Linked DNA regions of Caenorhabditis elegans. The protein of the gene in region 1 purifies or fractionates together with the protein of each later gene. This does not show direct contact. Each region holds a gene or a part of one and is shown on either strand. Other genes may lie near its edges.

Region 1 (16,207 bases):
TCCTTGATTCCTTAACCTGTTTAGCGTTAATCGCAAATTTTTATCTTGATCGAGAAATTAGAAGATACAAATTTAAATTTCAGCTTGAAACATGGGTGTTAAAATATTTTTTTCATACTAGGGGAGATCGCATACCTTCTAATGACAAAATGCCATTTATACCAACCCTACAGTAATCCTACAGTACAACTTCAGTATTCCTATAGTTGCACGAAAACATCCCCACACTAACCCCAACCCAAAATCCCTTCCAAAGACAACAACTCGCATTTTCCAAAACTACAGTAACCCTACAGTACACCTACCCACCCAAAACGTCTTACTAGTGTTAATTTCGTATGTAGTTTGCCATAACAAGATGAGAAACCTAGATTGCGCTTTTGAAATATTTTTCGGGCGTCGAATTGCAACGGGAATTCGGGTTTGTCGTTCAAAAATATCGCACTGGTGGTGAAGAACTTTGCAGCCGGACATAGATATTCCGAAGTGGAACTGGGCGGCAGTTGGCTAGATAAAGAGGATTTTCTAATTTTTGTTAAAGGTGACATAAAACCAGAAAATGCAGAAAATTTACAGCTTTTTGATAAGAAAAAAAATTGAAGCGGTAAAAAAAGAGTAATTCTAATTTACAAAATATATACAATAATATGATCTACATAATTTTATTATCAGGTACCCCGCTCAATCAGCGAAACGAAATTTCAAAGGGCATGCTGCTTACATAAGAGTCCGTGGAGTTTGGAAAAAAATCGAGATGAGTATTTGCACCTCTCCGGAAAATATTATCAGGTTTTGTTTTTAGAATTATTTTATTAAATTCAGCAAAAACAATGAAATCAAGACAAAAACTAACTTTTTTTTTGAAATTGATGGTTAAAAATTAATTGTGAGTTAGAGCTTCCATGGGAGGCAGGAGCAGAGCCTGAAGGCAGGTTTGAGACAAGCGACAGGCCCTGATACCGCTCCTGTAGTAAAATTAACTTTTAAGGTTCCATTCTTCAGAGCTGGAAATATTTCCCCAATATGCGAAATGAACTTATCGAGTTCTTAAATCCTACATCGATTCAAATTTTTGGCAATCTGCCAATTTCCGATGATCAAAATCACGTGTAAGAGCAGAATTTTCAATTGAAAAAAATTGTCAAAACTAATTGCAGAACTTGTGTTCATTCTAGAAGAGGCGATTTTGTTGAATACCTCTTCTATGCGTCGGATCCAAAGTTTATGAAAAATGCAGTAACATTTCTGAATGAAAATGGTATGTAACTAGTTTATTTTGCAACTTTTGAGGTTTTTTTTTCAGAAAAAGTAGGAAGTAGAAATCGAAAAATAGTATTATTTGGCGACGATTTGAATTTTTTGGAAACTTATTTTAGTGATGCAGTATTATCTACAGATGTCGGAAAAAATGTAAGTGTTAACAACAGTTCAACCATATGAAAAAATTTATTCCAAAAATTCAGGCAGAATATTATATTTCTCAAAACCCTCCAATCGACGATTTTCTCTATTCAAAAAATAATTGTGATGTGGTACTGATCACAGGTGATTCGGGGAAAAGGGCGATTTCGGTTTTAGAACTTTGAAAATTTTTCGAGGGGTAGGATTTTACGGCGACCTACAATTTCCGAGTTTAGCCACTCATTAAAAAATTTTATGGGCCAAACTCGGAAGTTGTCGGCCGCCGTGAAAACCGTCCCCTTGGAAAATTTTTCAGAGTTCTAAAACCGTTCGACCGGACGCCAAATATGCCAGCCCTAGTTGAAAGATTAAAAAAACTTAAATGCTGGCTGAAAATTGCTCCTTGTCGAACATTTTTCAACGGGGATTTTTACGGCGACTTCCATACTTTTTTTGCATTTTTTTTTTACTTTCCAATAAAAAATAAGCTATTTTCAGATTGAACAGGTACTGTTATACATTCCCATATCAAATTTTCATTCAGAAACACCAAAATTCCAGCTCCCCGCTCAACATTCGGCTGGTGGATTGGGTATTTTTCGAAAGGAAACAAAGTTTACTATCTGGATATTAAATACACTGGGGATCATATTTTTGTAACTGGATTATTGATTTTCTTTAAAATAAAAAATTTTTGCAGGAATCTGGAGGTCTTATTGCAAGTGACTTCTACCCATCACACTGGACGCCTCTGAAATTTGCAAGCGCTAATAGTTTTACAGTTGTGAGGAGCTGACATTAATGTGTTTTTTTGTAAATTTACCAGTTTAGTATTAGCTTCATAAATATTTGATTTTAAGAAAACCTTATATTATTTATTCAGCACTGACTCAAATTCTTTTTTTAAACTATCATCCGTACATCTACAGCGACCGAAACATGGAAAATGAGGATTTTGCAAAATCGGGAGGACACTTTCAATTTCCATGATTTTTGAAGGCCTTTTCAGGTTTAATCTCTATTTTTAATCTCATTCGAGAAATTAGAAGATAAAAATTTCAATCCGCGCTTTTCGGGTAAGAAAGGAATCGGGATATCCTTTAAATTATTGAAAACTTTATTGAAAAAACCGTATCAAGAAAATTCAAACATTTCCGGATGGGAGTACTCAACAAAAAACAAATCGAACACTTTAGCAATATGATTCTTCTCTTTCCGATCCCTCACGTCTGCTTCAATAGCTCTATTGATCTTCATCAGCCTCGCAAGTCTTCCAGAATAGTTGACTAGCTTCAGCTTCTTGGTATAATACTCGTGCATATTATCCGATTGAATTTGCAGTATTTTCTCAGTGGCTTCTAGCACGTGGCCCTGATATTTCTGCCCAGCACTGTTCAGGCACAACTGAATGAGCATGAAGTTGAGCTCAACGTTTGTGGGGTCCAGTTCTACCAGGTCCGAAAGAGCATGTCGCCAGTATTTTTCGATATCGGGGACTAGAAATCTGAAAATTAAATTTAAAATTAAAAAATCCAAAGCCGCCATAACCCTCTCAACTGCTCCACAGAATAGTTCGAACTCCATTTTATATCGATTTTAACATTTCCAGGATTCATGCAAGTATTGTCTGTCCACATGTATACATCATTTCCCAGCAATTTTTGTCTATGAAAATCCGCAGTTGCTGCTAGCTTGTCCAGTCGAGCCCAAATCATCCAGGAAGTTTTGAGAATATCTATCTAGAAAAATTCAAGTAAATATGTAGAGCATCTGATAAAAAAGCATTACCTTAATTTGCGGGTCTAGCATCGAAAATTCTGGAAGCCTGGCAAACCATTGAGCAGCTCCCAAAAATGATTGCTCCAAAAATAGCAACGCCTCATTTCGTCCAATAGTTGTCGCAATCTCCAGTTTTTTGCTCGACTCTTTTAATTTGATTTCTTCCATCTCGAAGGTTAGCTTTTCCAGTGAGTTAGGGTAATGATTAGGACTCCATGAATATGCAGCATCCTGGAAAGACTTGATGAGTAATAGTTAAAAATTTTGCGTGAAATCTGATGTAAGTTTCAGGAATACACCATATTTTAGGCGCAAATATATCTCCATTACCTCTTGAAAAATCGCCCAAGCTTTATCGACAAGACTTGTCACATCCACCAGACGTTTCGTGGAGCTGGCTTTGTCCGGCTCACAGCACAAAATGAATTCGGGCCGGCCGAGAAAATTTGCCAAACTTTGAGGTGCGCTGGTTTTCGTGTAGTTCGTTGGACGGAGGGAAGACGAAATGAGGTCCCGGTCGTTTTGAAATTCTGTAAATGACATGAAATTAATTTCATTCTATTCGTTTAAAAAATACCCACTGCTCGAGTTCATCCCAACTTCACAACACTTTTTCAACCGACAGATTTTACAGCGATATCTGAAATTTTTTACAATTTTAATTTTTCAAGTTTTCAGCTTCTACACAAAAAAAACACTTACAAATCATTTCCAATGCAATTTCCCTTTCTGCAAACTCTATCCTGATATTTTGCATTTTGAAGTGCGGCTCTTCGGAAAAATGCGGCACACGCTCGGCAACTGAGCACACCGAAATGATTGCCGTGAGCCGGTTGCTCGCAGATCTCGCATGGCCCGGAAAGGTAGAGGGCAGGTGGCATTTTTAGTTATACATAAAACACGTGAAAGAACGATGATCAATGGTAGTGTAGAACCGATAAAACGTGCCGAGAGACGCAGACTGTTGAAGGAAAGGAAAATAAATAGACTGCGGTTTTAGGGTGTAGGGAATATCAAAAGATCAACAAATAAAAATAGAGTGCCGTTATATAATAGTCCAATAAGTACAAATTCCATAAAAACACAAAACCTGTTAGGTTTTTCAAAATTTTCAGTCAAAAAATCTCAAAAAAGTTGGGCAAGTTTTAAAATTTTTTTTGGTCATTTTAAAACGCATGGGTGGTTTTTTTTTAAATTTATCCCTGACAATACTTGAAAGAAAAAGTTAGAAAAACATTTTAAATGCTAAATTATAGCAGCGAACTTCCAAAGTTCAGTGAGAGTTTTTTAGTTTTCTCAATGGAAAACAGCAGTTCTAGAAATAACAAAATTTGATATCTTAAAGGCGGAGTAGCGTCAGTCGTGATTTTGCCTAAATATACTTATTATGATCCAAAATGACCAAATATTATAATAAAACACTCGAAAAAATTTTAGATTTTTCATAATTTCCGGTCAAAGTTTTGTCCAGTTGCCAAAATTTTTGACTGAGTAATTGTCACTTTTTGACAGCAAATAAACAATTTTCAAAAAAAAATCTTTGAATGGTTTTATTATGATATTCGGCCACTTTGGCACCATCGGAGTAGTTTTTAACACTTTCCCCCACTGGCGCTACTCCACCTTTAAAAGTGATGATTGAATAAAAATTTAATTTTTCATTCAAAATTCGATTTTTTTTAAATCAAGGATACATTCATTAGTAAGTTGTTTAACAAAAATTTTATTGTCAATTATTAATCAAGTGCCCTCAAACATTTCCGGATGCGAATAAACAATTGAAAACAGGTCAAAAACTTCGACAATCTTCGCTTTTTCCTTTCTCTCCCTCACATCTTCCTCGACAATTTGGTTGATTTTCATCAGTTTTGTCAATCGTCCAGAGTATGATGGCATGTTCAACTTTTTGGTATAATAATTATGCAAATTATCTGCATTGATTTGCAAGAGCTTATCAGTTGCCTCTAGGACACGTCCTTGAAATTTCTTGCCAGCATCGTTAAGGCAGAGTTGAATGAGCATGAAGTTGAGCTCCATATCTGTTGGGTTGAGCTTCACGAGGTCTTCCACTGGCTGTCTCCAATGCTTATCAATATTTGGCATTAGGAATCTGTAAAATTTTCTCTTAAGAAAATTTAAAAAACCTGAAACTTACGCTTGCATTTGCTCTGCACCGTAATTGGTACACCAGCTCCAGTCAACATTGATATCCTGCACATTCAGACAAGTGTTTTCTGAGCACATAAAAATGTTTGCACCCATTTCTTTAATTCTTTGATTTTGTGCTGTTTCAGCTAGCTTGTTCAGTCGAATCCAAAGCATCCACGTGGATTTTAGTATTTCCAGCTGGAAAATTACAGACTTTGTTGGCTCGAAATTTAAATACCGAATACCATACCTTAACACGAAGATCCAGACTTGTAAAATCTGGAAGTCTTGCGTACCAGTTCGCGGTCGCCAAGAACATTTGCTCGAAAAAGACAAGCGATTCAGCTTTCCCAATATTCCGCACAATTTTTACTTTATGATTTGAGCTTCTTAACCGCAAGTCTTCCATTTCCAATGTGAGCTTTTCCAGGCTATTGCTGTATTTGTAGGGCATTGGTGAGTTGGCTAGGTCCTTAAAATTGCACAATAGCGAGCAACCGACAAATTACAGGACGGCAAAATTTGATGCGAAAAAAACATCAATTGGCCCGTGAAGTGTCGGCTTGTGCCAAAAAATAACCTTTACCTCCTGGAAAATTTCTGCAGCTTTGTGAACCAAATCCGTCACATCTATCACTGTCTTGAAAGGAGAAGCCTTTTCGGGCTCGAAACTTATTATGAATTCGGGCCGCCCGAGAAAGTTTGCCAAACTTTGTGGAGCATAAACTTTCGTGCGTTTAAGGTATGCATTGGAGCTTGAAATAAGGTCACGGTCCTTTTGAAATTCTGAACATTTAGATATTAAAATTTTTTAAAAATTCTTTTTAACCCACTACTTGCGTCCATTCCGACTTTGTAGCACTTTTTCAGTCGGCAAATTTTACAGCGATATCTAGAAAATTTGAAGTTTTTTTTTTCAATTTCCAGCAAACACATACGCTCCAGCATCAAAAATCCGGCAATCCCCATATTCACAGGCTTTATCTTGAAACCGAGGACTTCGAGAAGCTCTTCTGAAAAATGCGGCGCAAGCTCGGCAACTGAGCACACCGAAATGGTTTCCGTGAGCTGGTAGATCACAAATTTTACACGGTCCTGAGATGAGAAGGGCTGCTGGCATTTTGTCGTCTGAATTGCTAAAGATTTGTTCAATTTTTTTTTGAGAAAAATATTGGCGGGAAAATCAAATTTTCTCAAAAAAAATATGGCGGGAAAATCAAATTTTCTTGAAAAATACTTGGCGGGAAATTCAAAATTTCTAAAAAAGAATATGGGCGGGAAATTCAAAATTCCTCAGTAAACAATTAAGCTGGAAATTCAAATTTTTGTTAAAAAATAATTGGCGGTAAATCAAAATTTTCTCAAAAAACTATTTTTGGGAGAAATTAAATTCAAAATATTTTTGCGGGAAATTTAAATTTTCTACAAAAATATATAATGGTAATCAATAAAAAAAATTAAATAAAAAGTCCAATACATATCAGTTGACAGAAAACTAAATACATACTAGACATATAAAATGGAAACCAATGATCGGAGACGCAGACTGCTAAAGCAAGGCCTGGTGGGGTTTGAAGCAACATCAGCGTCAATAGAAAAAGTTGCCAAGAGTGACGAAACTACGAAAATGCTTACATAATGTGAATGAATAATTTAAGACAAGGAACAAATCTCCCCATTTTTTAAAAATTCAGTCTAGGCCAGGCTTGTTTGATGTTTGAAAAATCACACCAAAAAATGCGAATTTTTTTCCGATTAAAAAAATTTTTGACGGGATCTTGAAAATCTGGAGTTTTTATAATAAAAAAATGAGTAGTAATGACCGAATATAAATGTAAAAAAATGTATTAAAAGTTATTGAAATTTTGGAGATTTTTTTTGTTGGAAAAATCAGTGTATTTTTTTAGAAATTTTGAACCGCCTTAAAAAATTCTTCAAAAATTTCTAAGAAGTTTCATTACAAAATTCGTTCATTTGAGCACATTTTGGGCCTATACGCTCAAAATCGTCAGAACCGTTAGTCCTCCTTCAAATTAAAAAAAGGAAAAAAATTGAAGAACATTTTTGAAAATTTGGAAAATTGAGGTATTATACTCAAGATTTTTTTAGAAAAATTTTGAAATTTTAAATAATTAGAGTTAAACCGGATAAAAACATGTCTAACAAAAAACGAAGCGACAAATAAAAAAAAGGAAAATTTCACTAGACTTTTGAGAGGAAAATCTGATTTTTTCTGCGATACCAGGCGCAGCCTACATATTATTATCGCACGATCTTGAATCCTGAAAAGCCAATATATTTCCTATTGATTCGATTTGTTGCTTATTCTTTAAATACATTTGCTGTATTTGTAACTCTCTGAAAATTTAATTTTCAGTGCAAAATGAGTGATGTGAAACATCAAATTTTGGATCTAGAGATTGATAAGAAAGTCAAATCGAGTTCTAGTTCGGTACGCCAATTTTTTTAAAATTTCATTTTTTAATTCATGATAGCTTGGAAATTAGTTAATTTTAGATCATTCAAGGGTTATGCTCAATTCAACTTTTATCTATGATCGCAGTTACCGCACACCACACAGCCATGCCATTTTTTGTACAAATGGCTAATACGGTAAGGATCTTAATTTTCAATTGCCAAGAAAAAATCACTATTCAGAGCCATTTCCTTCCGACAACTTCGGTTTTTATGATGGAAGTTTTGAAGTTATTATTTTGCCTGATAATTGTTTTATTTAAAACAAAAAGTTTTGAGAAGTAAGATTCTGGGGAAAAAAGTAATGTTCCAACACACTTACAGAACTGGCAAAAAGCTATACGAACACATTTGGAAAAATCGAGTGGAAACCTTGAAAGTGTCGGTTCCAGCAGTGGTATATGCTATTCAGAACAATTTATACTACATTGCACTCGCGAATATTGATGCGACAACTTATTCGGTAATTTTTGCCCAAAATGAAATTAAGAAAATATGGGATCAATATACCAAATTCAAACTGTAAAAAATTTTTTAGAAATTTTTAAATTTAGTATGATTTTTTTTTGAATTCTTCATACAAATCACCTAAATTTTGGCATTTTTACAAAATGTTTAATTTTTCTTGGCAATTTTTATTGGGTTTTCATAGTTTTCATTAGTTTATTTAATTTTGGCACTGTTTGTCTTTTTTTTTAAATTATGTTTTTGAAAAGAAAATTTGGTAATCTCTAAGAAAAACGCTGAAACATTGAAATTGATCCAATTTCTTTGTAGAAAAATGTCCGAAAATGTGACAAATAATAATTCAAATTATGATATACAAACAAAACCGAGAAAATAAAATTTTAATCCTAATTATGCCAAAATGCCAAAATCTTAGTTGACTTACGCGAAAACTCAAAAATGATTCAGCACTTATAAGTTTATATTCTAAGTTGATATTTAAAAAGACATATTAACCGGACATTTTAGTGATTTTATTTTTTCTGAAATTCCTGGAAATTAGATTACATGAGAAAATTCACGAAAAAGTTACATACGTGGTATTTTTTAAATTTTCAGGTAACTGTCCAATTACGCATATTGACCACCGCCCTTTTATCCGTCATTATATTAAACCAAAAGCTCTCCAATTATCAATGGCTGGCTCAGGGTATGGCTCTCATCGGTGTGGTTCTTGTGCAGGTATGCTCCTCCTGGAGTTATCGACTCTAAATTAATGCCTCCAATTTCAGATTGACAATTCTAACCCCCATGGGAAAGTATTCGGAAATTTCTGGCTAGGGATAACGGCTGTGTTTGGTATGTGCTGGACAAGTGGCTTTGCTGGTTGGTTACTGTACTTTGGACCTAAAATGAAGTAACTTTAAGGTGTCTACTTTGAAAAAATGCTGAAAGAATCGTCAGCTGACGTGTGGGTTCAGAATATCCGGCTTTCAACTTTAACACTGCTTTTTGCTGGGATCACAATGCTCTCTACAGACGGAGAAGCCGTTCTTACAGGTAAGAAGGCTTTAAGGAGCTCCTGCTAAAGGTGGAGTAGCGCCAGCGGGAAAATTTTTTGTAAACCACTCCTATTGTGCCAAAATGATCGAATAAAAAAATTTTTTGAACATTTTTTATTTACAGTGAAAAAGTGTCAATTACTAAGTTTTTGCCACTCATAATTTTGTAAGTCGACCAAAAAAATTGTTTTTTCTACATTTTTTATACTTTAATTTTTATTCAATTATTTGTATTAAAACATTGAAGGGATCGGAACATGCGACATTGTTCTGGATTTCCTGAAAAGCCGATAATTTTTAAAATTATGGCAATTTGTCAAACCTTTGACCAAAAATTATGAAAAATCTGAAATTTTTCAGAGTGTTTTATTATAATATTTAGTTGTTTTGGAATATTATAAGTGTATTTACACAAAATCCCTACTGGCGCTACTCCACCTTCAATAAATTTTTGAAATTTCAGGAAAAATGTTCTTTGGCTGGAATTGGATAGTGTGGTTTGTTACAATTGGTAATTCAATCGTAGGTCTTTGCATTTCGTTGGTAATGAAGTACGCCGATAATGTGATGAAGACGTATTGCCAATCGCTTGCAATAGGCCTCACAGCAATTGTGTCCATATTCCTTGGTGACCGAACTCTTAGTATAGATCTCATTTACGGAGTTCTACTTGTCACATCTTCTATTGTGGTATACTCACGGTTCCCGGCTACTACATCTACAAAATATGAGCCACTGGAACAGGACAGCGACGCAGAAAAAAATTAAGAAAATTTATCGTTACTATATATTTGTTTGTACTATTGGTTTTCCACGGAATAAATACAATTTAATCAAACCAACTGTGTTACCGGGCGATAGCGTTCTTGAAGATTGTTCCGCTTGATTCAATATTCGTGTCTATCCTACCAAGAAGCCCGGCGGACATTCAACATCAAATGCGACGCTATTTGATGGATCTAGATGGAATAGTGGCGTTTTGATGAACTTTAGAGATAATGAAAAAACCGTTCCCATTTTCAAGATGTGCATTTTTATCGCAAAATTCACAACTTAAAGGTGGAGCAGCACCAGTGTAAATTTTGTCTGAAAACACTTATAATGAACAAAAAAACCGAATATCATAATAAAACACTCCAAAACTTTTCTGATTTTTCAAAATTTTCTGTCAAAGTTTTGGCACATTGGCAAAATTTGAAAAATATTAGCGTTTGAGAAAATCCAAACGAATGTCGCATGTACTGACCCCTACAATGTTTTAATACAAATTATTCAAAAAAAAAAAAAAATGTAGGAGAAATTTTTTTTGACCGACTTCCAAAATTACGAGTGGCAAAAACTGAGTAAGTGTTACTTTTTGACTGTTAAAAAATTCCAAAAAAAAATAAAAAATATTAAAAAAAATTTTGAAAAAAGTTCCATTATGATGTTCAGGCATTTTGGTCCACCAAATGTGGATTTTTGCAGACTTTCAATGTTTTTTTGACTCCCAGATCCGCAGTGCATAGCGCTTGAAGAACGGATCGTTCTTTAATTTTTTTTAATTTTAGGGAATCAAAAAATTTGTTTAAGATTATTCGAAAGAAATATTCAAAAAATTTGAAATTCTGTTAATTTTTAATATATTATTTCCATATTTCGCAATACAACTTTGCCCCGATTATATAGACACACTATGTCAATAACCGCAGTCTACCCCTCATACCACTGCCCGATTTTATTCTATTTGCACTTTTGAACTTTTCTTTCACATCCTGCGTGTCTTACATTTCGGCAATCATGTGTTGATCATACACTTATTAAATTCTCAAATGCAAGTCTCAAAACGTAAAAGTCTCTGTAAAATTTGTGGTAACCCGGCGTTTGGCAATCATTTTGGAGTGCTCAGCTGCAGAGCATGTGCTGCATTTTTCAGGTAAGAACAAGGGAGGTTTCTTAAACAAAAAAATTTTTTTTTTTAAATAAAACTGAACACTTGCAATTTCCAGAAGAACAAATGTAGATGGAGAAACATTTTGTCCAATTGGCAATTGTAAAATCGATAAACACGGGAAATTCTACTGCAAAAAATGTCGATTGAGAATTTGTCTGGAAGCTGGTATGGATGCGAACAGTGAGTTTTTGAAAATCAACTTAAAACTTCAATTTAAAAAGATTCCTACATTTTTCATATTTTTAGTCATGTGGTACAGTGCCAATTTTTCCAAATATATGGACTTTTTGAAAAATTTCTAGCACAAAAATTGTATTAAAAATAATAAAATTTAAGTTTAAAGAAAAAAATTGGCAGACTTTTAAAATTATGACGGAGTTTTCATTGAATTTTCGTTTCACAATAAAAAAATGCAAATTTCCAATGGTAGAGCAAAATTTGTACGAAGAAAAATTTTTAAAAAATTAAGAGAATCACGTGGTGTCAGGCTGTCCCATTGCGGTTTGATCTACAAAAAAAACCCGGGAATTTTTGTCCGAAAAAGTGTGACGTCAGCACGTTCTTAACCATGCAAAAACAGATGATAACTCTGCGTCTCAACTTCCGCATTTTTTAGTGGACCTACGTAGATCAAACTGAAATGGGACATTCTGACACCACGTGGGAAATCTGATTTGAACAATTGATCAAAAATTGTTGGCGCTTGAAAAATTCAAAAAAAAAAACGGAATTTTTTTTAAATATGTTTTTCTTTTTTCTCGTATTTTAAGAATAAAAAAATTTCAAGAAAAACATTTTGTTTTTTCCAGAATTTCAACACGACCGCGACCTAATCTCCACTTCCACATCGGAAAGCTCCGACTCATCGGGATCTTTTTCATTTTCCCAAAGGAGCAAGGTACCCAAAAGCATGGCAAATTTCCTGGGCCGGCCCGCATTTATTTTAAGCTGTGAGCCTGATAAAGCGAGCAAGGTGAAGACAATAGTTGATGTCACGTTTTTGATAAATCAAGCTTTTGACATTTTTGGTAATGTGAGTTAAAAAATAGTTTTAACTAGAAAAAAACAATATAATTTTAGGTTGACAGAAAACGATTTTCATCAAATAGCAATTTGGGAAGAATGACAAAAAAATTTGAGGATTTGCAAAATGAAAAATCTTCAAATTTGAGCACAATCAAGGTGTTGGGCTTGAAAGAATCTATGATCTTCTGGGAGCAAGATTTTCTGCGAACTGCTAGGTGGCTGAGCCATTTCGATGAGTTTCAGGAGCTCCCGTTGAGCATCAGGGTCAGTGAAAATAGTGCAAGCCTACCAGTCGTCGGCTGCTTAAAGTAATCATTTTCCAGATGCAAATCTTAAAGGTGGCATGGATCCTTTGGGGAAGACTGGACAAACTTGTGAAAACTGCAAATGAGCGGAAAAATCAACAGCTTAATCAAAATTTCTATATGATTGGCAAGGATGTGGGAATAGATATTGGAAACTTCGAAGTAGATGTTTCCTGGTGCACGAATTATAGCAAGGAGCAACTGGCCTAGTGAGTTTGTGCACAAAAATTTTTACAAAAATTTTCTTAATTCATTTCCAGCTACCTCGACTGCCACCACGACGAACCATTCAACATAATCGTCGACGCAATCTCCGACCTGAAGCCCAGTGACATGGAATTGAACTTTATGCTCCTGGAGCTCTGCCTGGCACATGCTGGAAAGCAGCATCAGGGGGATGTCTTGATGTTCACTGATCGGCTTCTAGAAGTTGTATCCAATGAGCTTCACGACTATTATCAATCGGAACAAATATCTAACTACTCATCTAGAATCACAAAAATGATGAAAATCAACAATTTGATTAGGAGAAACTTGTTCGAACGGCTGGAACGACAGGCGGTGGCGAAAGTTTTCAATATAATTTCTGTACATTTTTCACATCCTGATATGTTTTGTAATGCTGGGTTTTAATTTTTTGCACTTAACACATTCACAAAGTATGATCTGAAATTGCATAATTTAACTTTAATATTTATGAAGATCTCTACCAATTTGCAGTTTTTGATGTTTTAAAATCCTTAATAGTTGTGTAAAATAACACATAATTGATATATTTGGAATTGGAAAGCGCAAACCAAGATTTTGTCGGCTGCAATTTTAAGGAATTTGGAACATTGGCAAAAATTTTAAAAAAAAGTACTGAAAATATACTAGAGATTTATCAAAAATCGGTTAACTTTTATGTGTAAAAAATTATTGAAAAAATTAATTGTTACCCAAAACTCGAATAAAAGAAAAACGAAAAATTTTCAAATTTGAAATTACCAAATTGAAAAAATTGGCAAATTCTACAAACCGGCAAGTTGTGAAACTTGTCGAACAATCGCCAAATTCGAAAGAGGCAAACTGTCGTTTTTTCCAATTTTTCGTTAAGTTCTGAAGTCCGGCAGTTTGTTAAAATCGAAACTTCCCTGGTTTTAAAGTTCCGGCAAACGAGAAAATCGGCAAATTGCAAGAAAAAAAATTTCAGGCAAATGGGAAAATTTCAGTTTTTTTTTAAATTTGGCAATATAGGAAAACCGGGCAATTTGTTAAAAACAAAGATTTTCCTGCAAGTCAATATATTGGTAACAGATGTTACAAATATTTGACAAACGACCAATTAAAAAATTTAGGAAAAATGAAAATTTCCGGCAAATGGGCATGCCGCCAAATTGTTGTTATTTTTTCAAATTTTCGGCAAGTTTGGCAAACAGGCAAAAATCAATTTGCCAAACGGCAAAGGCCTCTGGCTCATCTTTCAAATTTTTTTTAGATTTTCAGATAAATATGCCTCCACCTTTATTCCTATCGGGTCCATGTGAAATTTGCGGGCAAAAAACTTCGGGTCGACATTTTGGAGTGATGAGTTGCAGATCGTGTGCTGCATTTTTCAGGTTTCAAAAACTCATTAGATAGAATTTTAAAAGCTAAAAAATTGCAGAAGAGCTGCGACGTGGAAAACTGAAAGAGCCGATTGTAAGAAGGAGAATTGCCAAATTTTTGAACGTGGAAAGTAGGTTTAATTTTGTTTAGGAGTTTGAGCAACTGGAGCAATTTGCAGATTCTCCTGCAAAGTTTGCCGTCTAAAACGGTGTTTGGAAGTCGGAATGGATGCCAGTAGTAGGTTTTTTTAAAAATTAAATAAGTTAACTTCAAATTTCTAATTCAGAATTCCAATCCAATCGAGACCTGATTTCTTCTTCACATTCGTTTGGAAAACCAAAATCCCTAAACCTTCCCCAATCCCTATCAACATTTCTCGGAAGACCTGCGTTCATATTGTGCTGTGAACCGGATAAGACGTCGGGACGGAAAACTCTAATTGATGTATCTTATCTGGTGAAAGAGGGAAGAGATCTGCTGCGGACGGTATGGATAAAAAACATTTTTATTCAGTGAAATACTAAATTTCAGGAGCCCCATCTCTCTCATATCCCTTATAAATTCAATGACAGCTTGGAGAAGATATCGCTGAAACTTGAAAGTCTGCGCACCACAGAACTGAATAATAAAATTCGGATGCTTAAAAAACTCGGAAAAGAAGAAACTATGTATACATGGGAGCAGGACTTCCTTAGAGTTATCAAGTGGTTCGCAAATCTTGATGAGTTTAATGACTTGGACGAGGATTTGATGGTACGATTTTGGCAAATTTGCCGGTTTGCCGGGTTGCCGATTTGCCGGAATTTTGACTTTTGGCAATTTGTCGATTTTCCGTTTGCCGAACATCAATTTGCCGAAAGTTTTTAGAGTGATTTTTCATAAGACGGAAACACTGAAAACTGTTCATTTTTGAAAAAAATTTCCTGTCCTCTTTCATTGAAATTCTGAAACTTTCAAAAAATACGCAAAGCCACAATTTGCCGAAAATTTTCGGCAATTGCCGTTTTTCCGGTAAATTCAGCAAATCGGCAATTTGCCGGTTTGTCCATTTGCCGGAAATTTTCAATTCCGACAATTTTCCGTTTTTTCGGCGATTTCGGGAAATTGGGAAATTGCTAGCTTGCCGATTCGCCGGAAATTTTTAGTTCCGGCAATATGTCGATTTGACAAATTTGCCGGAAGTTTTAAATTTCGGCAATTTGCCAATTAGCCGGAAATTTTAAATTCCGACAGTTTGCCGATTTGCCGGAAATTTTCAATTCCGGCAATTTGCCATTTTTCCGGCAAATTCGGCAAATCAGCAAAATGCTAGCTTGCCGATTTGCCGGAAATTTTCAATTCCCGCAATTTGCCGATTTTCCAGAAATTTCAAATCCGGCAATTTGCCGGTTTGCCGATTTTCCGGAAATTTTCGATTCTAGCAAATTGCCGATTTGCCGGGAGTTTTAATTTCCGGCAATTTGTCGATTTCCCGGGAGTTTTAAATTCCGGCAATTTGCCAATTTGCCGGAAATTTTCAATTCCGGCAATGTGCCGATTTGCCGATTTGCCGGAATTTTTCAATTCCGACAATTTGCCGTTTTTCCGGCGAATTCAACTAATCGGCAAATTGCTAGCTTGCCGATTTGCCGGAACTTTTCAATCCCCGCAATTTTCCGATTTGCCGGCAATTTTTGATTCCGGCAATTTGCAGCTTTGCCGATTTTCCAAAAAAATCATTTGCCGTCCACCCCTGGTACAATTGCCCCAAAGTGCCGAACTCAGAAAAAACCACTACGAAATAATTTTTCCAGCTCAACATAGTAAAGGCTGCCTGGATCCCCTGGACAATTTTGGAGAAGCTTTACGAGACCTCTGATTACCAAAGGAAAAATATTTTTAGCAAGACTGTACTGATGTGTGGCAATGATACATGTATGGACATGAACAACTACGAGCTCGATTTATCCTGGCTCACGGACTACTCGTTGGACCAGCTTACATAGTGAGTTTAGGCTGAAGATCAGAAAGTTAAAGATGTTGTCTTTCAGCTTTTTCACTCCACC
Region 2 (17,254 bases), on another chromosome or scaffold:
ACATCCGACACCAATTGACAACGATCACTGCAAAATTGATAAAAATTACAGATGATTTGAGATTTGAGGTCTAGAAAATCCTATATTTTTCAAAAAAGTCCAGTCAAAGTTGTGAAGAATTTCCAAATTCTTGGAAAATAGGGAATTTTTGAGTATGATATCATTGAAATAATTTTTTGAATCGATTTTTAAAATTTTGATAGTTGAAAACTGAGGTATATTAAAAATTTAGAAGTTTTCTTTTTTAATAGATTTTGAAATAAATAAATAATACCTTAAATAATACAATTTCAATAATGTATTTTTCGGTTTTTTTCGGCCAAAAAAGTTTTTTAAAAAGGCTATTTTTTAGCCGGGTAGAGGAGAAAAACTTGATTTTATCTTCTTTTTTTTTGTCGAATTTTTTTTTCGGTGAGCTGCTCCAACTTCAACTCACACAGTGAAAAAGTCTCTGTGCCTAGCAGCATTCGAAATGACATCAATCGCAAGTGTCAGTGCCAGATCCGTCTCTAATGCCTCAATTGATCCTCGTTTTCCACTCAACAACAGCTCATCTGTTCCGAGCAGCAGCGTCGCATTGCATTTCTTCAGGACGAGCGCAGAAATTTCCAAAATTCGACCGAAATATGGAAGAGCCAACGAGTTGAACGAAGTGTAGAGATCATTGGCAAAGTGGAGAAGTGAAACGAGTCGAAGTCTGGCTGCCAAATCAGCCTTCGCTTCGAGACCCGGCTCAGCCCAAGCGACGAGCTCATTGACGACTGTACGGAATTCCACTTCACTGAGAATACTGGCAATGGAGATAACGAAATTGAAGACAGTGTGCTCGAGCTTTTCAACATTCTCAAATTGATCCGATTGACGTTCTTGACTTCTGACAATCAATGTTGGAGTGATGACATCACTGACGAAGGTTCTTCTGAGCTGAATTACTGATTTACGGAGGATTTCCGGCTTCTGTTGATGTTGAGTTTCGATGTATCCAGTGAGCAAGTTGAATAGAGCACTGAGAGCCTTCTGTAAATTTAGAGCAAATTTATATTTTGAAAATTTCTGGCAAATCAACAAATTGCCGGAATTTAAATTTCCGGCAAATCAGCAAATTGCCGGGATTGAAAACTTCTGGCAAATCGGCACAATGCCGGAATTTAAATTTTCGGCAAATTGCCGGAACTTTAAATTTCCAGCAAATCGAAAATTTGGCGGAATTTAAATTTCCGGCAAATCGACAAATTGCCGGATTTGAAATTTCTGGCAAATAGGCGATTTACCGAATTTGCCGGAAAAAAGGCAACTGCCGAAAATTTCCGGCGAATTGCCAGAATTGAAAACTTCCGGAAAATTCTTGTTGATTTGCCGAAAAACGACAACAGCCAGAATTTTTTCTTTCGCGTTTTTATTATACTCAAAATGACACCAAAAAAACTGATTTTTTTTGTAACTAAAAAATTTGATTTTTCAGAAATTTCTCAAATAATTTTATTTTCGAAATTTGGCAAGAAATTTGGCACTTTTTTAGTCAATTTTTCGGCTTTTTAGTCAATTTTCGGCGGGGAATTCAAATTTTTGTAAACTGATACCTTTTCAGTCTTCAACTCTCCAACCGTCTTCACAATATGAGCAGGAAGCACGCGAAGTTCGATAGAAAGCAATGAACGACGAATCAACGATAGACGATGATGGATTCCAGTTTTACTTCCAAATCCACTAGTCTGTGATCCTCCTTGGAATGCTGCTGTTGTGCTAGAAGATGGTTGATTGAGAGCCAGGAGCTCCGATGGATCTCCGAATCGAGCAATAAGCCGACAATATCGAATGATGACGTCACCAGTCGATTCAACGACGAATGAGGCGAATTGATCGTAGACTCGTTGGATGCATGTTAGGGAGCAGATCTGGAAAATTGAAGATTGAAAAAAATTGAGTTAAAAGGGCAGAATCTACAAATTTCAGGCGAAATTTATCAATTGTCTGGAAGAAAATCTAAAAAATTGAAGTTAAAATTGTTAATTTTCTGTGAAAATCATCAAATTTTCGAGTTTAAATGACGTTTTTCGCCTCAAATTGTAGATTTATTACACAATTTGACAAAAATCGTCATTTAAATCTGAAAATTATTTATTTTTTCCAAAAAATTCAGTTTCAGCTTTAAAGCTTTAACTCTTAGCTTTAAAAATTGGGATTTTTTTCCAGAAAAAGTGGCAGTTTTAACCGAAAAATTCAAATTTCGCCAATTTTGACTGAAAAATTTCCAAATTTCAGGCAAAACTCGAAAAAATGCTCCAGAAAAATGACACTTTAAGCCAAATTTCAGGTTTTTCGAGCTATTTTTAGTGTAACAAACTCTGCCGTACCAATAAGGTATCACTTCCAAACTTGTTTCCTCCCAGTGATTGTTGTCTGATTCGGTGACCTCGATTTCCACGTCCACCTGCCACCGATGATCCTGGAGATGCTGCAGAATCATACTGAGGCTTCGAGAATCTGGCGATACACTCCTGAACAGTTGCTAGACACGTCTTCAAAAGACTTGTCGCATGATGAATCGTAGATCTCATATTATGCGAACGAATGAGCTCTCCGGCAAGAAGAAGCACATTTCCAGTCAAATTCTCGTCGAGCTTCTGATATTGGCTCACAATGCTCACACACCGTTGCATTGTATCTGCGAGAACTAGCGATTCCGATTGTGACGGAAGATTCTTCGCGATCAACTTCAACGTATACGCAGAATTCTGGCACATTCTCATCTTCTCCTCACTCTTCGTCTCGGCAACGATAAACTTGTTGAGAGCCTGAGCCAACGTGATAAGCTCCTTCTCGTTGATTCCACTATCGGCGAATAGGTAACGATCGTGTCCGAGCTTGATGTTCGCGAGTTGCAGGACTTTCTCGCACATCTTATACGACATCTTCTTGTCATTAACACACTCTTGAAGAACATCAGCGATGAGACGAGCGGCTACACCTCCTGGAAGCAAGTGTCTCAGCTTCTCACTGACCACCTCGGTTCTTGACGCGAATGCAACCCAATATCTTTGAGCTTGTGGATCTGATCCATCTTGATCATTGGCTTCCTTGTTCGCAAACTCATCCAGCTCAACGGAGCACTCGATAAGCCTCTTTCCAAGTGGTAATGCATTCTTCAGAAGCTCCTCGTCATCATACGCAGCTAATCTTTCAATCAATACTCGATTTGAGAAGATTCTCGAGATAAGAGTGACCACTACATATCGGAAATGTCGAATTCTCGGCAAAGTCTGAGCTGTTCGATCGAAGATCATCGTGTCCAGATCCTTCTTGGTGGTGGTGGACTTCGCTGGCTTATCACCTCCAAGACGACGCACATATTCACACATCTCGAGGACACTTGAAAGCTGCTCGAATGGATTGAGAGCACTGAGAAGTTCAATTGCTAAATCATCATAAGCATCTTGATCCGATCCTCGCTTCATTGCTTCCTGAGCAGCTGCATCTGAAGATCTCTGCCAGCGAGCACAGAAACTGGACACCAACACCAGCACAACAGTCGATGCATTCTCTGCTTGAACAGCTCTAGCGATGGCTTGTGCGATTCTTGCTCGACGATGTGCTGGGATATCTATAGCACTCGCGGCGAAGAGCCGAGCCAACTCGATGAGCTTCTCGGTTTGCTGTTGCTTGGTGAGCACCGCTTGTCCAGAACTATTAATGATCGTTGAGAACAGCGATTCGACAGTCTTTTCGACGATTGAAAGTGTCAATTCATTGTCTTTTCGAAGCATTCCATTTCCCATGAACGTGAATACAGACATCACGTGCTTCACCACTGAATTGGGGGTGTGCTTGGCAGCGGCCACAATCAAACGGAGACAATCTCGAAGGAGGTGATGATTGTGAGTGGATCGCATCGTTTCGATAACACAATCCATGTCGACTTCCGACGCTCCGATCTTTGTCTTTTCAGGATGTTCAAGGATCTTTCGAATGGCATTCACAGCGAGATGCTGCTGGTATGACGAGCTTTCCACGTCGGATTTGGAGTTCACTCTGAAATTATTTTAATTTTATTGTTTAAATTCAATTTCTAATAAATAAAACTCACTGCTTAACAACTGCAAAGAGAGCAGCAAGAACCTTTTCACTCGACGGAATAATTTGACGAGCATTCAGAAGATCCAACACAAATACGACACGTTGATTGAACGCTTCCCATGATTCTTCGGTTCCAAACGTTTTTTCGACGAGATTCTTCTTCTGAGCACCCTTGGTTCGTTTTGGAGCAATTTCCGAGACTCCATCGAATTTGGTGAGCAGGTCAGCGACGAATTGGGGGTTGAGGTTGGCCTGAAATAGAAAAATTGAAAATCAGATTAATTGGGTGAAGATTTTGTGTTAGTTTGCTTAATTATACTAAAATTAACAGGAAACAATCAAATTTCGTACTGAGACCTCTCAAAAAATGTCAATTTTCGAAAAAAAGAGCTAAATTTTGCTAAAATCTGAAATTTCGCACAGTTTTTATCGAACTGTCTCCTAAATTTGTTGATTTTGCCAAATTTTAGGCAGATTGGCACCCAATTTTGGTAATTTCGGAGCTTATCTACTTATAATATGCCTAAATATATAACGAATTACGGCGAGAAAAAAAATGACCAAAATATGCAATTAATGTGGGATAAATCGATAAAAACTGTGCTCCAGCTTCTACGACACGGAAAATTTGGGGAAATTTCAAATTTTAGTTCAAAAATTGGTTTTTTTTTTCGAAATTTTGATTTGCCATTCAAATTTTCAAGCTGGAAATTCGGACTTTTTAGGGCTGATATAGTGAAATTCGACAAAAATTACCCCAGCCAACGCAGCCTTAACACTGCCTCCATCAATCTGTTTGACTCCTCCAACACCGACAACCTTCACAATCTCCAACACAAATTGCTCGACGTCATCTTCCACCTTACGACTGAAATATTTCTCTCCTCGTTGAGCCATCTCATTCAGAGCCCATTCGACTTTGTCCCATTTCTCTCCGTTCAACCATTCGGTCGCCTTATTGATCGGGTCACCGGAGAAAACTTCTCGTTTCGCGAATTCTGAACTTTGAGCCAGCTTTTGAGCTTTTTCTGAAGCGGTGAGCTTGATTTTCTTGGAAGATGGAGCTTCCTCGGAAATAATTTCAATAGATTCCTCAGATTGAGTGGCAGCGACAGCTTCACTGGCGAATTGCACAATATCTTCAATTTGGTATTCTTTGAGCACATTTTTCAAGGTTTTCTTGTCCTTAGCCTTCAATTCGGCGTGAATCGCATCAAATTGCTTCGCAAATCGCATTCCAATAGCTCGAATATTCGATTTCAGCTTCTTCTTATTATCGAAAATATTTCCGTCCATTCCTTCCTGAAGGATCAGCTTCAAGATTGTTCCAGCTTGATCTCCAGTCAAAATCGAAGCATCTTCAATAGTTTCTATAAGAACATCAATCGCCAAGGTATTATCTTCAGATTCTGCATCTTTTGACAACACAATAAGTTCTTTCCACAGAACATTGAAGAACTTTGTCGTATCTGTACGCTCTGAGAGTTCCTTCAGAATCTTCCAGACATCAATGCCTTCCTCGTGGCGGAGCAGCTTCTTCAGCGTATTCTTCGACAAACTCTGCACGTTTTGCTGCTGGAAAACAACCATCAGAGTCGAAAGTGAAGCTGCTGCGGTGTCCGATCGCATTTTTGTGATCAGCAGCTTGCACATTGAGTTCAAAACCTCATCCTTGAGCTTCACCGTCAACACCAGCTGGGAGATGACAACCATTGCAGAGTAACGGAAAGATTTCATTGGGCTTTTAATTCCATTTTCGATGAACGGCATCAACTTGGCAAGCATCATTTCGTCGACTTTTTCTGGATCCGTGAACATGCTCAACAACAATTTCGCGTGAAAATTGAAGAGAATAGGATGTTTAATTTCCAAATAGTCACTTCCAACAATCTCAACAGCATGTCTGATGTGATCCGTGATACAGGTAATAATCGAATGCTTGCTTGACAACGTGGCTCTTGCGATTGAAGTGAATGGGATTGGTGTCTCCGTCTTCGTGAATTGCTGCATAAATTGCCATTCTTTCGATCTTTTCCAGTCAAAATCCAGAATACGGAGAAGTCTGGAGTAGACTTTGGTCTCGTGGAATGGGAGAAAAGTGAGAAGAAGCGTCTCGGCGTTGAAAGAGTAGATTTGATAAGTGTGGATCAGGAATTCAAGAACTTGTTGGCAAGCGAAATGTTGTAGATACGGAGAAAGTTCCAGAAGAAGCTTTTCGATTTGTTTGTTGAGCTCTTCATTGGCGCCTTTTTCGAGCATTGACCTGACAAAGTCTACACGCTCTTCAGAGAATAGATCGTTGGCGAATTCTGTATCAAAAACTGGGTCGATTCTCTTCATTTGCTCGAGTCCCGCAACTCCTGAAATAATAAAGAATAAATAAATTAAATTCTCGAAGCTCTTACCAATTCTGTGAGCGGTCTCATTTGATAGTTTATTGGCTTCTTTTCTATCGAACAATAAAGAAACATGGCGCTTCTCAACCGTCAAGTGACGAGCGGCCGATGTTCTCAAATTTTCCAACTGGCTTGTCAACGACGTCGCCATTCTTATGATACCCGGGGTTTGGAGAAATAACAGACAACAATTCTGAAAAATGGTAATTTTATTTAATTTTTGAAACAAAAAAAAAACTGTTCAAAGAAAGAAAATTGCGCTTAAAAATGCGAAAATTACAAAAAAATAATTAGAATAAAAAATAAATTTTCGAGTTTAGGGCGCGGTACGTGAACACCGCACGCAAGTTTGCGGACCGCACACCACACTTTACGACACTTAAATTTTTTCTTTTTTATTGTTTTTATATAAGAAAAGCTTTTCGTAATTTTCCTCGAAATTTAAGTGATTTTTTTCAGGTAACAAAATGAAAATCAAGGTGATTTCTCGAAATCCAAACACTTATCAAAGAGAAACCACGGACAAAAGGAACAAAAGTAAGATTTTCCTAGTATTTTATAATTTCATATATTAATTCAATGTTTCCAGTCGTTCGAAACTTCAACACACCAGCGGACCCATTCAGATCTCAAGTTGAATACACACGTGCTCTAAATGCCACGAAATTGGAGCGAGTTTTCGCTAAACCATTCGTTGCGAGTCTTGACGGCCATGTCGACGGAGTTCAAGTTCTTGCAAAGCATCCGAGTAATTGATTTTTCTTGAAAATCTCTAGAAAAAAATATTTTTCAATTTTCCAGATCGCCCATCCACAGTTTTCTCCGGCGCCCGAGATGGTCAAGTAAAAATCTGGAATTTGGCTTCCAGAGAGTGTCAAGCAACTTTAGACGCACATCGAGGACTTGTTAATGATATTTCAATTGATAATAATAATGGAGAAAACTTTGTAACTGTTGGACAGGACAATCAACTCAAATATTGGAAGATCGAAGGACAACAGAAAACGCCGGCCCATTCAATTGCAATGGATGGAATTGTGTATGGAGTCTCTCATCTCTCATTCTCCTCGGATTTTGTCACTTGTGGAGAAGATATTAGTGTTTGGAAGCCGTATCGTGAGACACCACTACGCAGTTATAATCTCGGCACTGACACAATTCACACATGCCGAGCGAATCCAGTCGAAGAGAACGTGATCGTTGGCGCCCGCTCAGATCGTTCGATTTACGTGCTCGACACGCGACAAGACGTTCCACTGAAGAAGGTGACGATGAAAATGCGTCCGAATAAGATCTCGTGGAATCCGATGGAGGCCTATAACTTCACGGTGGCTAGCGAGGACTATAGCCTGTACACATTTGATATGAGATATATGGAACATCCTGTTCAATCTCATCAGGGATTCACGTCTGCTGTGCTTGATGTCGACTATTCGCCGACTGGTCAAGAATTTGTGGCTGCTGGATATGATAGATCTATTAGATTGTTTAAGGCTAGAGATATGACTAGCAGGTGAATATTAATTGCTGAAAATATTGTAGATCGGCAATCTAGAACAGGGATAGCGGCATGTGCCGCTCGGCAAATTTTTTGTCATTTTCGGCAAATTGCCGATTTGCCGGAAATATTCAATTTTGGAAATTCACCAGATTTCTGATTTTTCGGAAATTTTAATTTTCGGCAAATTGCCGATTTGCCTGAAATTCTTAATTCCACCAATTTGCCGGATTACCGATTTGCCGGAAATTTTGATTTGTGGGAAGTTGCCGATTTGCCGGAAATATTCAATTTCGGAAATTCGTCGGATTTCTGATTTGCCGGAAATTTTGATTTGTGGCAAGTTGCCGATTTGCCAGATTTCTGATCTGCCAGAAATTCACCAGATTTCTGATTTCTCGGAAATTTTGAATTGTGGCAAGTTGCCGATTTTGCCGGAATTTCCAAAAAAAAAAGTGCAATTCCACCAATTTGCCAGTTTGCCGATTTGCCGGAATAGTCAATTCCGGCAATTTGGTGATTTGCTGGAAAAATCGTTTGCCGCCCACCCCTAATCTAGCACTCCAAAATTTTAAAATATAAACTTCAAAATTAGAATTAATTCGAATTCTACAATTTCAGAGACGTCTACTACACAAAACGAATGGCCTCAGTCCTCTCCGTACTCTGGTCTGCTGATTCGAAATTCGTTCTATCTGGAAGTAACGAAATGAATATTCGTGTCTGGAAAGCGAATGCCGCGGAGAAGCTTGGACCACTCACAAAACGAGAGAAACAAGCTTTCGCTTATAATGAAAAACTTCGAGATACCTATAAGAACCATCCAGAAGTACGAAGAATCGCAAAGCATCGCAATGTGCCAAGACATATTTTCACGTGGGTTTTTTGCAGAAAAAATTCAGAATTTTTGGCCAATTACACTGAAAAATAGTGCCAAAATGAAGAAAATCACTTGATTTCTCTGAAAATAGCATTTATGCTGCTGAAAATAATATTATTTTCAGAGAAATCAAGTGATTTTCTGTATTTTCTCACTAATGTTCGTTTTGGAAAAACAACATTTTGTGGAAATTCCAAAGCAAAACTAAACAATTTTCAGAGCCGCCAAGGAGCACAAGCTTATCAGAGACGCCCGCGGACGACGAGATTTCCGACGAGCAAAAGCCGCTGGACTCGACGAGGAGGAATCATATCTGCCACAGACTCAGAAGATTATGGTTGGAGATGCCGAAATGTGAAGCAGCAGCGTCGTTTTTTCTTTTGTTATTTGTTGTTGTTTTCAAGTTTATCACACTTTTTTTTTTTGGTTGTTCTCCTATTTTTCCCAAAAAAAATCCTTGTTTTTAAATACCGCTAAATCAAAAAAAAATTATTTAGAGAAATTCGAAAAACAAAAAAATTAACCGAAGAATCGAAAAATTTTCGATTTTATTTCAAAAAAAAAAATCTCGATTTTTCGGCCATTTTTTCATTTTTTTTTTCGAAGAAAATAATTATGTTTTTTTATCGATTTTCCGTAAAATCGAAAATTTAAAAAAAAATTTGATAATTCATAATTTCATTTACAACACTAAAAAAAGAAAGAAAAATATTTAGACATGAAAGAAAATGATATTAAAAAGGAAAAAAATTAAATTTGGAATGCTTCAGATCACTTTTTCGATGAAATCTCCGGCAACATATTCTTGATTTCTTGTGGAATCGTATCGATATAATCCTTATGCTTGACCCATGAAGCCGTCGCCAGTACTCCTCCCGTATTATTAAGCTGCACACCGGGCTCATATCGAATATCACGGCCCGAAATGTCCGTAAGAGTTCCTCCAGCAGCAGTCAACACGGCTTCAACTGCACACGTGTCCCATTTCTTACAACCAGCACTTGCAAAGACATACGCTGCACACCCTTCCAGAACTTTGAGCACCTTGAATCCGGCTCCACCGACTTTTTCAACGCTATCCGCCAAATTTCGAGTTTTCAGAGCTTCGAGGGCGTTGGAGACAGATTCGCTGAGATGGCTTCGAGTTGTCACCACGATTTTTTGAGCATTTCCTGGAAAATATAATTTATTGAAAAATTGTAAAAAGCAGCGAAAAAATCGGGGGTACTCTAGTTTTAAAGGTTCATGACTGATTGATTAAACATTTTTGAAATTTTTTGCACAATTTTATTTTATTCGAAAATTGTTTTTTTTTTGCGATTTTTTCCCAAAAATTACGGTCTCGAGCGGAATTTTTTTTACTCGCGATTCCAGTGTTTTTCGTAATTTTTTCTTTAAAAAAAACTAAAACACCTGGGTACTGTAGCTGAAAAGTGGTAATTTTTGGTGACAAATACGGAAAATGGTTTTTTTTATTTGATAAATGTTTTCGGTATTATTAAAAGCTACATTTTACGAGTTTTGCGCGAAAAAATACGGTACCTGGTCTCGAAACTACAAATTTTTGTAAACGCAAAAAGGTATGCGACTTTAAGGAGTACTGTAGGTTCAAACTTCTGTTTTGTATCAATTTTTCGAAATTTTTCATAGTTTTTAGTATAATTTGTTAAAATTTAATGTGTTCTTATAGTTAAATTTTGAGGTTTTTAAATGAATAAATATAATTTTGCCGAAAAACTATGAAAAATCAATTTTTTTGAAAATTTGGAATTACAGTACTTGGTCGTTTCAAGACCAGAAAGAAGAATATTTTCCTCTTGCTAGGACCAGGACCAGGCAGTAATTTTGAGTACGAAATCGCACTTTTTCGCGAAAATTTTCATTTTTAATATATTTTTTTAAAATTTTAATCAATAATTACCAGTAGCCGGAACAACTCCATGAACTCCACAACCTTGAATCGCCCAAACCGTCCTTCCAAGCTTCTCATGATATGGTTGATGAATAATTCCAGCCACCGGTCGTCCCTTATACGCGATTCCAATCAACACAGTGACCTGCTCCAACAATGCCATATTCTTATTCTTAACTGCCAACGCGACTTCTGATGTTCCATCCAACGGATCCACCCAGACTACAACATCATTTTCCTGGATATTCTTGAGCTCCGTGCTCATCAGGCGTTCCATTTGGAGCACGTCCGCACTGAATCCCATTTCGATTTCCGGGCAAGCAGTTGTGTCTTCCTGAAAAAAAATTAAATTTTATGCTTTTCTAAATTAATTTTTGAGAGCTTCTAATTTTTTACCTCTTCGCCGATAATATTAATATTCTTGAAATGCTTCTGCAGAGACTGAACTATGCAGTATTGAGCCCGACGATCTGCTTCCGTTTGTGGATCGTAGCCGGATCCGTGCTCCGATTTATCGATGATTTTGAGATCTCCGCCGGCCATGACATTCTGAAAGACGAAACAATTTTTTTCCATTTTTAAACTTAAATTATTGATTTTTTTAAGCTTTTCGGCCTGACGAGAGGTCTTTTTTAACAGTTTTTCGAGTAGATTCTATATTTTAAAATTTAAAAAAAACTCACTTTAATAAGACCCCCGGCAGCCTCTGAAACTCGGACAGACGAGGCGACGAGTCTCGTGAGAAAACTCGCTTTGTTGAACATTTCAACTGGTGCCGAAATCATTCCATCCGTTTTTCGATCTTCTCGTTTTCTCTGCAATCGTCATTTTTTGTTCTATCTGATTTTTATTTTTTCAACGTGGAGTTCAACACGCGGGGATCGCAAAAGAGAGATAAAAAAGATAAAAAACGAAGAGGTAAAAAATTTTCTCGTTAACGAGAAATTTAATTTGATCGGTGATTGCGTAGAATGTGCGTAATCTGACGACATTTATATTTTATATTAAAAAAGCATGGCGTCCACGTGAAAATGATTTAAAAATGGATTTTCTCAAGAGAAAAATCGATTTAACGATCAAAAGATGGCCTGTAAAAAGGGAAGATAAAGAAGGTAGACGAGGAGAGAGTGCAGACACCGCGGAGACGCAGAGTAAATCTCTAGAGGAAATCTTTTGCCGGTTAAGACTGACAATTAGGAATCCCTCTTCTGATATTTATATATATGCAGTGAAAAGCGTGGGAAGTTATATAATTGCTTTGCTTATCACTGATAACTGATCGAAAATCACATTATTTTTTTCTAAATATTTTATTTTACAAAATTACGATAGCCAAAAATAGTTAATTTTCCGCTTTTAATGGCTTCCAAAGTTTATTTAAACATGAAAAATACGTTTTAAATTAATGTAAAACACGTAAACGACTAACGCGGCCGTGTGTCGATTTACGCAGCTTGTGTACTCCCCGTGGAGAAGTAATACTGTAGTTTTCGGGTAGAATTCTCATTTTCTGATCATTTATGCTGATTTTTTTTTGCAATTTACATTAAAATTGTTAATTCACTTCTTATTCGAAGTTGAATTGGTGAAAATTGATGTATTTACGGTTGAAAATAGAAAAATTCTCGTTTTTTAAAGTTTTATACAAAAAAAAATTTAATTTTCCTTTTATAAACTCGTGATAAATAGGAAATTCGAATCAAAATACGAGAAAAAATCCAAAAAAAAAAGAAAAATCAAGTATTTTATGCGAAAACTGTATAATCCTTTGCAACAAAAAACACTCTTCTCCACGAGGAGTACACAACCTGGCCGTGGCCGAACTTTTCAAAAGTATTCTTCCATTTTCAAATATCAGGCATTTGAATTTTATATTATTGAGTTTAAGACGTATTTCTGAACATGAAATCGCTGGTCCTGCCGAAAAAAAAATTCAAAGCTAAATAAAACGTTTATTTACAAGCAGCGAAAGTCTATGTACATTAGTAGGATTTGTGTTTCTCATGGAAAATGTCAAAAATCTTATAAATTAGAAAAAAAGAGTCCAGTCAATAAGATTTATGCAGGAGCGGCAAGAGCAATGACTCCACAAGCAGCGCGAGCGCCAGCGTTTCCAGTCTTCAAAGACTCCTCGGCCTTGTCGTCGATTCCCTGGCCTGAAATGTTTTGATATTTATCAGAACCTTCTGTCGAAAGCTTACCAAGATCATCTCGATCGACGTGGACAACCATGGAACGTCCGATAACAGTGTTCGCTCCGAAGAGGCTGACCACCTTATCGGAGAACTTGATCTTCGCAACTCCATCGGCGCCAGCTTCAACGTTTCCAAGGTCACCAACGTGGCGGACCACGGACTGAAAATAGTCATTTAGAGATAACAAATAGCCTGTGAAATCACTTACATCTCTTCCTCCATGATTCATTTTGCATGGATTGAAGTGTGGCCCAGCAGACGTACATCCATCGGTTGAGTCTCCATATTGATGGATATGGAATCCATGAAGTCCTGGTGACAATCCCTTGATCTCTCCTTCGAATTCGGTCTCTTCACCTTCGGCTTTCTGAAACGGTCTAGAGTAATAAATAGGGATTTGATTTTTCCCAATTTATTTTAATGGTGGAATGACTCCGGTGTGGAAATTTCCTATTAAACACATTGTAAGAAAATTTAAATTTTATATTTTAATGGAAAATGTCAGTTTTCGCCTAGTGCCATTCCAAAATTTCTCGCCTTTTGAAGTTGAAGTGCAACCGCGCTCCGACGCGAAATAATATAATAATATAATAATATGGGTCTCGTTAGGTATTGGGCAGTTTTTTCGTGGCTTTTAGGTTTTTACAATATTCATTTTAAAAAAAATTTGGCCTGAAAATAATTAAAAATGCAATTGAACAACTACTGAAAGTTTGGAGCAAAAATAAATAAAAAAGTTTGATTTTACAGTTCTGTCGCCAATACCTAACGAGACCAATTGGCAGTGGAGCGCAATTGTACTTCCATTTCAAATGGTGTGATTTTTGCGTTTTATATGATAGGCGAAAATTGACATATTTCTACAGAATATAATTTTTGGGGAAAACTCTCTGATCTCATTGGCGATGCTTTATCTTTAAAAATACCAAAAAAAAATCTTTCAACCAGTTCTCACCTGGGTAAGCCAAACAGTTCCGAAGACAGCAGTTCCACGGAGAACCGCTACAGCACGTTTCGACTCTACTTTGGAAACAACGTCCTGTAAAGTGAGTTAATTTAAAGTTTTCATATTATAATTGTCTTATTTTCGAATATTAATTTTTTATATGATACATCCACTTAAAATGTCCCAAAATATAAACGCATTTACCTGTGGAAGAACGGCATTGGCAATATCAGAGAGAATATCCATTTTCCTTTTAGTAAAATTTTCGTTAGCACAATATTCACAATACGACAGCGAATGTGAAGCGAACTGATGGAAAAAAGGGGAGGAATGTTCTAGTACAATAAGAGCTCAACGACCAACAACAACAACAAACAAAACGAAGAGATCATAGATTAGAGGACAAAACAACATATGGGAAAGGGGACAGAGATGAAGTAAACATGGATGGTAATATATTTAGTATGAGGATACTAGAAATGGATAGGATTTCTAGAAGCTTCTTTCTGATATTAAAAGTTGATTGACCAAAAAACTTCAAAAACTATGAAGTGGTTAGACATTTCTTTGAAACGCTCGAAATATTTTGAGAATTTGATGAATATGACACAAAACTTTATATTTCAAATTTTTTGAAATTTTCAATTGAAAAAATTTTGGAAATTTTACAATTGTATAATTAATACAATAAATACATGTGTTATAGTCTAATATATTACCTAATTATTAAAAATATTTTTTATTCACCAAGAGACGGTGTATTTAAGTATTTTCAATTACTTCACGTTATTTTTTTGTGAAGAAAATCATGTTTGAAATCTTCAAATTTTATAATGATTTAAAAAAGCGGAGTATCGAAATCTCTGGAATATTTTGAAAAAAACTCCAAATTTGCCCCAGGAATCCATCTTCTCGGAACTCGAGTACTCATCTTATTCAAATGCTGTTGAAAAGTTTCGCGTGCGCGAGATAAAATGCAGGCAAGGTCTAATCCACGACAAGGCAGATGCTATCCTTCCGCCATTATTTACAGCGCAAAAACTCACAGATGTGTTGCAGCAGCGTGAAAGATGTTTCCGATTTAACAAACTTTCACCAAATTAGCCCAACTTTACCCACTCCTCAACCAAGTTTAGCCACTTTTGTAAATGGAAGTTGAAAAGATGATAAGGTTGGTTGAAAAGCGGCGCCGAATTGCCGAGAGACCAGTTCACCAGGTGAGTTGGAAAGAAATTTTGTGAAAGTTTTGTGATCGTATTTTCTCGATAATAACAAAACATAGTACCGTACATTTTTATTGTTTCAAATATAACTTGACAATAACTACTATTTCAAAACTTTCGAATAAAAACATGGGTTCAAGTAGTTGTGAATCATTTAACTTTTCTGAACAACGTGGAAAGCTTTGATCAATCTAGAACTCGGTCGAGTAGTTCTAGGTTTCTTCGCTCCATGTTCTTTGCAGAAATTAGGAATGGTTGAAACAAGCAGTTTTCTTTTTCTTGTTCTTTTCAAATTGTCTTTTTCCTCTTCATTTTGAGAGGCTGTAGGATGCGGAGGTGCCTTCTGAACTTTGCTCCGTGTCTCTGTTATGGCTTTTCTGGGAACCTCTTGATTCATAGTTTCAGAACGCAAGGTAAGAATTTGATTTGAAGCTAGAGATTTCTGCTTCGGAGTCTTGGACACAGTTTCCTTTTGAATTTTCGTTGTTTCCTTCAACTTAATTGGTTCTGAAAAAATCGGTTTTCGTTGTCTTGTTAGTTTTTTTTGGTTTTTTTGCCTCCTCACCTTGACTCAGTGAAGCCTTTGAAGTGATATTATTATAATTTGATGCAAGGATAAGATTCGAAGAATTCGGCTCAGTTTCTCTTATCTTCGGTTTTTTTGAATAAGAAATCATTCTGCCTGTAGTTATAGGTAAGTTTTCCTTGCCGTTATTCCCGATTGAAGTGTGTTTTGCGACAACTGGAAATCCATATATCACGACGGAAGCCGCGGTCAAATAATTCAGGACGACCTTTTCCCTCGCCGTCTTCATCGCTTCTGATAAGTGCCGAATTTGATTGTTTCCAGAAATTGACTTGGTTTTCACAAAGCAATCATCAATCAATTCCATAAAGTAGCAATCAATTTCTTTATCAGTTACAGGGTGGGCCAAAAGTATGGTAACACATGAAGCGCTCTTTTACATGAGCTTTTCGCGCGACTGCCACGTCATACGTACATTCTTCGATCGAATACTGATCGCTGAATAAATTTCCTTCAATTTGACCTAAAATTTGCAATGTTTCCCAATAAGGTGCGATTTTAATCACCTCGGCAATTTAGCGAACCCTTTCGAAAAAACGGTGTTTTGGCACGCGGCACTTCCCACACAAACACACCTCCCACGCACGCCAATAATTTTCAGATGTATGATTTTTATGTTAAATTCAAAGTTAAAGAAGTGAAGAAGCGCTTTTGATTGTTTTTGTAGCCTATAAAAATTTTCTGTGTCGGCACTGGCGCCTAGCAATAACCTTTGAATATTTCATGAATTCAACTTTGCGAAATTTACTCAGTTTTTTTGGTTTCGAAAGGCGTAACGTCCCACAAAATCATCCGAGCTAAATTTTTTATAAAAAATCTGAAAAGTCAGGTCAAAACGTGCCAAAAAGTACAAAAATGAATTTTTCTTCATACTGCTGCCGCCGCTCACATCCATCTTTCTGGCGACTGTGTCATTCAAGACTTCAGCTACTGCCATAGTCCATGACAGAAATACCACGATAGAATTTTTTTGGATTTTTGTTTTTAAAGAATCTCCAGACCAAGAGCATTCTTTGAACTATAAAAACTTGTAAGACACTTGATGGATTTCTTGAGAAAAAAGTAGAAATCCCGCAGAATGCCAACTTGCGTGCCATAAAGATCGTGATCTCAAAAGTTCTGAAGGCCTGCAGCGATGTGGATGGGGATATTTTGAAAATTCAAAACGTTCATCTGGTCAGTATTTTATGGAGAACAAAACTTTTACAAATTGATGTAATAACTCTCTCCACACGTAAAGTTATAGAGCTGCAAACGTGTTACCATACTTTTGGCCCACCCTGTACATCCCATAAGCATCCAACAAGCGATGGACATTTTGCCATCGCGTAATCCTGAATCACAGATGTTCCATCAAAGCCGTGGGCTTGCGGAATAGTTCGAACGCTGCAAAACCATATACCAGTTAAATACCAAAAGTCAAATAAACTCAACCTCTCACAGCCCATTAAAAAACTAATTGCATTGCAAGTCGTTTGCCTGATAAGAGACTGTGTCACAACAGAAGATCCCGAGCCATGTCCAAAGTAACTGCAAAACATTAA

The links.
Region 2: the proteins of nhr-184 (region 1) and dcaf-13 fractionate together in Caenorhabditis elegans (co-fractionation; one large-scale study listed by BioGRID). This does not show direct contact.

Annotation. Positions count from the first base shown.
Region 1 is NC_003283.11:2,208,013-2,224,219, forward strand, and holds nhr-184 (Nuclear Hormone Receptor family), read right to left. Parts: upstream 6,467-16,207; 5' UTR 6,449-6,466; coding exon 6,267-6,448; intron 6,221-6,266; coding exon 6,162-6,220; intron 6,115-6,161; coding exon 5,915-6,114; exon of another isoform or gene 5,801-5,914; coding exon 5,579-5,800; intron 5,527-5,578; coding exon 5,336-5,526; intron 5,291-5,335; coding exon 4,921-5,290; 3' UTR 4,859-4,920; downstream 1-4,858. Other genes in the region: Putative galactoside 2-alpha-L-fucosyltransferase svh-11, read left to right, coding at 673-789, 1,003-1,109, 1,158-1,258, 1,304-1,410, 1,464-1,545, 1,963-2,057, 2,102-2,197; Nuclear hormone receptor family member nhr-133, read right to left, coding at 2,536-2,905, 2,950-3,140, 3,190-3,411, 3,511-3,710, 3,762-3,820, 3,883-4,061; nstp-8 (Nucleotide Sugar TransPorter family), read left to right, coding at 7,712-7,780, 7,846-7,941, 7,987-8,084, 8,128-8,266, 8,869-8,991, 9,042-9,135, 9,178-9,309, 9,775-10,079; nhr-56 (Nuclear Hormone Receptor family), read left to right, coding at 11,123-11,226, 11,300-11,424, 12,054-12,277, 12,325-12,534, 12,594-12,784, 12,836-13,208; nhr-128 (Nuclear Hormone Receptor family), read left to right, coding at 14,067-14,173, 14,221-14,292, 14,341-14,399, 14,449-14,648, 14,694-14,915, 15,956-16,146, 16,193-16,207.
Region 2 is NC_003280.10:4,414,578-4,431,831, reverse strand, and holds dcaf-13 (DDB1- and CUL4-associated factor 13), read left to right. Parts: upstream 1-6,929; 5' UTR 6,930-6,937; coding exon 6,938-7,007; intron 7,008-7,059; coding exon 7,060-7,218; intron 7,219-7,271; coding exon 7,272-7,983; intron 7,984-8,589; coding exon 8,590-8,844; intron 8,845-9,067; coding exon 9,068-9,206; 3' UTR 9,207-9,312; downstream 9,313-17,254. Other genes in the region: toe-1 (HEAT repeat-containing protein 1 homolog), read right to left, coding at 1-27, 437-1,017, 1,581-1,895, 2,355-4,029, 4,085-4,326, 4,831-6,434, 6,480-6,621; bpnt-1 (3'(2'),5'-bisphosphate nucleotidase 1), read right to left, coding at 9,620-10,020, 10,770-11,094, 11,157-11,309, 11,444-11,524; sod-5 (Superoxide dismutase [Cu-Zn]), read right to left, coding at 12,819-12,916, 12,962-13,115, 13,164-13,322, 13,911-13,994, 14,106-14,147; ZK430.5 (separase), read right to left, coding at 15,279-15,631, 15,690-15,866, 16,990-17,096, 17,145-17,240.